Saccharomyces cerevisiae S288C: one gene and its partner. The protein of the gene in region 2 purifies or fractionates together with the protein of the main gene of each other region. This does not show direct contact. Each region holds a gene or a part of one and is shown on either strand. Other genes may lie near its edges.

Region 1 (4,064 bases), on a different chromosome or scaffold from region 2:
GATAAAACCATTTACGACATAACCTATGATGACTATAAAAGCATTGATTTTTAGACAAAGGCATCTCTAATGAATAGCATCACAAAACTTGCATTTAGCATTAACATATATGGATATATATGTACACACAGAAAACGTATAAACACTCATGTATAACCCTACATAATAAGAGTATACAATGATACTAGTCATAAAAAGTATTGTGTGTATAGACGTGCGCATATTTTCAAAATATTATAAACCTGAACAATAGACAGAATAAAGTATGCAGCGCAACGACAACGATGATGGACAGCGAAAATTTCCCGTTCGATTGTGTCTCCGTATTATTATTACTCGATATTTGAGAATTCAAGAAATAAGACGACTGTGCCCACCCAAGAGCCACAATTGCCCATTGAATTGCTTGAACAGTCCTCAGGCGCTTGGACATATCCAATATATTCAATATAACACAAACGGGTATCCAGATCAAGTTAGCGTACCCGTAAACGGAAATCAATTCAGGAACACTTTTGAAGCTTCTATTGCGCTCCGAGTGCTCATCTCTATTCAATACTTGCATGGTAATAAATGGTACGCCGAACGTGTACCCGTAAAATAGCCAAATAGAATGCAGTAGCTTCTTAAACTGACTGGCCCTGTCGATGTCCTCACCAGTCTTGACGCCCTCAATTACGTCACTGATAATAAAATTTAACCCCCTACTCATGGTAAAATTGATCATTACCACCGTGGCAGTGATCCATACAGCACCGTATAAATCAGTGTTATCTTCGTTACTTTCGGAATTATGATCGTTTCTAAACGTCAGTACCGCGGACAATCTCTTTTTGAACTGCGTCAAATCGATCTGGAAGTATTTAGAATAGTAGTTTATCAATCCTGGCCTCAATCCATTACGCCCAAGACCGTCGTTGTCATTCTGTCCTATCACTTGGTCGTACGCTGGTGGGTCCATTTGACCCTGTAATGGTGCGGATTCTGCCTTACTGCCCGTTGTGTTATAAAATTCGCTACCCTTTCCAGCAGTCGAGTTATTCATGTTTGGGCTATCAGGTACGGTGGCATCATCAAATGGGTTGGGCTCGTTGCCAAAATCATCTACACCCTCGAGATCATCGTCAATATCTAAAAAACTGCTATTATTGGACGGCATTTTTCTGCTTTTGTCGAGTCAATCCTATTTGCTAGTATACAATCGTGGATGAAGCGTAAAAAAGAACTACAGAACCAATGCGTTTGGATCCAATGTGGTCGCTGCCCTTGGCCCCTTTTACCTTGAGCGTAGGACGTTGATACATTTTCACTGCTTGAGAAATTAGGTATAATACACAGCCGGGTAAATAGCGTTTAATTGATCGCTGCTCCGTAATACCGATATACTGTTACGTTATGTATTGAAAATACAGTTTAACTATTATTTGTAGGGATACTACTATGGGGTCTCAACCGCACTTAAAGGCGCTAAAATATTTTGACTTTTCCTTCCTTATATTGTAGACGTGTTATTTAAAAACTACATTTTCCATATCTCGTCGCCAGAAACTTCTAATTTGGTAAGCCTTCCAATAAATATGAAAGAATCCCCTCTCATAACGTTGGTTAAAAGACATTCCGAGACACATTTTGCCAATATCAAGTATGGGTATTATGTGTTGATAATATCATTGGTCTATCTCATTGGATTGGCTCTTTTGAGAGCTTTCGGAAGGAGAACCCCATCCAGATCGTCGTCAGCTTTCAAAAATAAGATAATTTATCGGTTGTATGATATAGATCCTGCAATTCACTTAGGTATATTGTTTTTTGCAGTCTTGATTCCATTTTATTACCATTACTCTTTGACTACCCAATCTACGGTCTATCTCAAAAGATTAGGGAGGTTGAGTTACGCCTTGATCCCGCTGAACCTATTCCTCACTTTAAGGCCTAATTGGTTCCTTAGGAAAAATTGCACCTACACTGATTTTATACCGTTCCATAAATGGTTTTCACGTATTATCACCGTGATTGGTTTGCTTCATGGGATTTTCTTCATCATTAAGTGGGCGATAGACGATAATGTCTCTCTAAAGCAAAAATTGATTCTGAAAACTTTCAATTTTGCGGGATTCATAATATCAATATTGGTACTTTTTTTACTTATTTGCTCGATTGGGCCAATGAGAAGATACAACTATCGTTTGTTTTACATCGTACATAACCTGGTGAACGTGGCCTTCATCTTACTCACCCCAATACACTCTAGGCCAGGTGTTAAGTTCCCATTTCTTCTACTAAACTGTACCCTATTATTCATTCATATTATCAATAGAATAGTATTTGCGAAATCCTTGATGATTTTGAATAAGAATGCGAATTATTCAAAAACAAATTTAGTCCATGTAAGATTGCCCAGGGCTATTCTTCCAGATTATTTTGAACCAGGGTCGCATATTAGAATAAGCCCTTACAGAAGAATTAATCCCCTCTATTGGTTGCTACCATCGCATCCATACACAATTGCGTCTTTGGCAGAAGACAATTCAATTGATCTTATTATAAAGGAAACCTCTACAGCCGAGCCAGGTAGCCAGATAGAGTCTCTTCGTAGTAATCCAAAATCCTTTCATTTAGATCAAGAAAAAACCTATACTTTGATTAATAGTTATCCTCCCTCTGTACCCGAAGAATGTTATTCTCAAGGCACGAATATAGCTATTATATGTGGTGGGTCTGGTATATCTTTTGCCCTACCACTATTTAGGCATTTTTTTAACAAGGAGAATGTAAAATACTTGAAAATGATCTGGCTGATAAAAGATTACTCTGAATATGAACTTGTTTTGGATTATCTCAAGACAAATGGGTTGACTTTTGAGAAAAAACTCTCGAATAATAAGAGGATTTCAGTATTTATTAGTGGAGAATACACGGCGGAAACACGGTTAGACGAAATTACGACCAATATCGACGATGAAAACTCAGAATATGAAATGGGATCTTTCAACAATGAAGACGAAGACCTTTCGATTTCTAATTTCAATTCAGAAAATGCGGACAGCAATGACAATACGCCAGAGACAAGTCATAGCCCCACAAAAGAGAATGGAAGCATGATCGAGGTAAAATCCAAACACAGTTTTACTCTTTCCAACGAATTGAAGAGCTTCAACAATGAAAGTGCACAAGTGAACCAAAATGAAACATGGTTGTTTTCATGTGGTCCTCCCTCGTTATTACAATTGTCTAAAAAATATTGTAACGATGAAAGGATCAACTTTGTCTGTGAGACTTACGGATTATGAGGGGAAAAGAAAAGAATAATAATGTCTTACGCAATATGCTCGGAAATGATATTCCACGACATTAGATGCTAATTTATAGTATATAGAAAACAAAAAATACATATCTGTTTTTTAATGACCTTTAGTTTATATGCTTTCTTGCGCGGCTATTAGAATACACTTGACAGGTTGTACGCATTATTAATCGGTAAATGGAGATATATTAGAGATGATCGTTTTAAAATGGAGGCTGTCTGCAAAAAAATTGGGAGCTACATTAGCAAAAAGCTTCTTTTCTTGTTGTTCTCGGTTTATATTTCAAGAGGGCAGTAGGAAAAAGGATCGAAAAGCTCGGCCTGTGGCCATGTCCTCTAAAAATCAAATATAATTTACTGGCCAACGTTATCGGCTCTTTTTGATATCTATCATCTCTTTAGCTATTGTTATCTGGCAACTGATTCAACTGATATGAACAATTCCATAATTACTGATGATGAGGTTAGAGAGTTTTACTTAAACTGCTCTTCTCAAACAATTATTGAATCTCTTCTCAGCTTGCACGAGTCATTGAGATTATATTCTCAAAACCATGAGATACTGCTCAATAGGATGTTCAAAAAATTGGATGAAACCAATGCAGACTCTAACATATCCCATATATTCATGCCTGTTGTGAGCAAGGATTTTTCAGGAATAAAAATTCTTGTGAATAACAACAACAAAAATTTTCAAGGTGTGATAAATGTTATTGAGCCTGAAACAGGAAAATTAATCGGATGTTTTGAGGCTAAACAA
Region 2 (2,638 bases):
TATTTATTATTTAGATTTTCTAAAAATAAAAAAAAATCATACACTATTTTGATTACACTACTATGTAATTTATCTTTGAAAACAACCATGAAAAACTCAATTTTACACACACATGAGTTATCATGAGGAGTCATCAGCCAGACTTAACAATCACACACATTGTTAAGAGTGGAAAAAAATAATAGTGATAAAAGGAAAAAAGCTAACAATTTGGATTTTACGGGATCTGTCTAAATACGAAACACACACTCGTTTTAGTTCAAATATCATAACCATAAAAAAAAAAGCACAATTCAACTTGAGCACGCACACTAAGTAGTAACAACGTTCATTTACAGTAAAGCGAACGGACGAAACAAATAAAAGAAAGGCATAGTGAGGGATAAAAGGTAGAAAGAATTCAAAAAAGGGTATCGCACACACACACATAGTAGTCTAATTCATGTTCTAGAATGGATATAAACAAAGATGAAGGGGACAGGAAATAAAATGGCTCGCTCCGCCCTTTTTAGAATCTTTGCAATCCTCTTTGTCTAGCTTGCCATTTTCTGTAGATAATGGTAGCAATAATGGCAATACAAGCCAAACCGACCAAAATGAAAACTAAAATAACACCACCTGGTAAAGTCATTTATGATAGATTAAAAGTGCTGAAATGGGAAGAGGAGAAACAAACAAAGGATATGTAGGAACAAAAGTTTGCTTGAGTGACTAGTTTGAAGTTGAGAAAAAAAAAGAGATGAAAAAGTTAACTTATTTGCTCTTCCTTCAAAGTGTGTAGCGTCTTCCTTTAAATACTATTGAAAGGGAAAAAGAATAAATGGAAAAAGGGTAGTAATGAAAAACTCTAAAGGAAGATAAGACGCAATAAGAGAAAAAAAGGGAAGTTAAGATTACAAGAGAAACAATAAATTGCTTTCAAAGCTTTATATACTGGCAAGCACGGAAGGCTAAATTTGAAAAAAAAAAATGGGAAATTATTATCGGAAAAAATTGAAGCTATCTTCTATTACGCAGTGACAAGTCTATATTGACATCTTTCTGCTTTCTGCTTTCTGTTTGTTGTTTTTTTTCTCATAGTTGTTTTGATTTTACTCTGTTGGAAATGCGAAAATTGTTTTGATTTTACCCGATTGCGACCTATTCCCGGCTTTCCCAAAAAAGGAATTCCTGTCCAATGCAACGACAGCCATAGAAACAGCCGCGGTTGGGTGCGTGGGTGCGGTAATTTAACGATCATATGGTATGGGTGCACGTGGGATTCTAGGGGAAGTGCGCGCGGATACCGAATCGGCCATCGAACCGGCCACCCGGATTGAGTTTGGTATGTTGCCTCTTTGCGCAATTTTATTGAATGCAAAGTTTCTCCTTCTAGTAAAGGACAACAGCTGAAAAATGCTCGATGTCCAAATGACGACATAAACCTCCTCGTTTAGGAAAGAGTTAACACGCCTAGTTTCAGCTTGTTTCTTTTTATTGTGTAATTAGTTTTCTTACTTAGTACATCTTATTGACCCCACTGTCATCGGATGTGAGAGAGTGGTTCACTTCTGAATTAAGTTTAGAGATATACTAAATCTAAATAAAAGTCTCTTTCTGCGTGCATATGTTTTCTTGCGCGGGACTCACAAGGATGCGTCTTTTATTTCATAACGCGGTTGTCCCACCTTAAGCTTAGGTATCAGAATCGACTAAATCGTCGATGCTGTCAATTATGTCGTCAATGAGATCTTTTGCGTCGTTGATTATGTCTTGAAGCCAATCCCCCACTGTGCTAGCAGTAGCGCTAGCTTGTATGCTGCTGCTGCTGCTGCTTCTTGATGATGGTGATGTTTCGCCCAGTAGAGTCTCAGTTGCTGATGGTATTGAAGTTGTCATTTCTAGTTTTATCGTTAATGACGAAGATGGCATAGCGGCTATTTCATCAGTGTTTCCATCGTCGTTGTCATCATTATCATTGTCAACATTGTCTTGTTCTGTCTCTTCGGGGTACCCGCCCCAAATTATATTATAAGTGCTGAATTCACCAAACTTACTGACCAAATAATCAAAGTCATCTTCAATCTCTACTTCTTCGCTGCTCTGGGGTTCGCGGAGTTGGTTCATAAGCATCCCAGTCCCATCATTGGAATTTCTGTCCTTTTCTGCCACACCGCAAATATCACACAAAAGGTTGTAAATTTCGGTATTTTGGAACGGCTCAATGTATCCCTGTGGAAAATATGGCCCCATACCAATAAATACAGATCTCATATCGATCGCGTTATTGTCGTATCCATGTGATCCAATCGTGAACACATTGTCTTCGTTTTTGTCCTTATGATCACCTTTTGCCACCTTCTTCAATTGTTCTTTCTTCATCACTGCATACCCAGGCTCGGGCACAATCCAGATTGACGCCATGTGATGATTTTTTCCATCATTAAAGTTCCATTCTTTGGGGAAATTTCCATTAACGTAAACCGTATACTTGTCTTCATCTATAGAAGTCTTTAAATTGTGGTAAACCTCATTGATGTTTCCGGAATCTTTCAACGATATAGCCATCATCGGACCCTCTAGATATGCGTGCGATACATAATCCTTCCTCAATTTTTCGTCCAGTAAGTCTTCCCATATAATAACATTTGAGGGAACT

What was found.
Region 1: the proteins of PMP1 (region 2) and AIM14 purify together in Saccharomyces cerevisiae (affinity purification with mass spectrometry, with the first as the bait; one large-scale study listed by BioGRID). This does not show direct contact.

Annotation. Positions count from the first base shown.
Region 1 is NC_001139.9:198,984-203,047, forward strand, and holds AIM14 (putative metalloreductase), read left to right. Parts: upstream 1-1,577; coding exon 1,578-3,290; downstream 3,291-4,064. Other genes in the region: SUT1 (Sut1p), read left to right, coding at 1-54; YIP5 (Yip5p), read right to left, coding at 227-1,159; YGL159W (uncharacterized protein), read left to right, coding at 3,738-4,064. UniProt on the Saccharomyces cerevisiae protein: Probable cell surface metalloreductase. May be involved in iron or copper homeostasis.
Region 2 is NC_001135.5:162,437-165,074, forward strand, and holds PMP1 (proteolipid ATPase), read right to left. Parts: upstream 632-2,638; coding exon 509-631; downstream 1-508. Other genes in the region: YCR024C-B (uncharacterized protein), read right to left, coding at 163-429; YCR025C (uncharacterized protein), read right to left, coding at 1,010-1,420; nucleotide diphosphatase/phosphodiesterase NPP1, read right to left, coding at 1,675-2,638.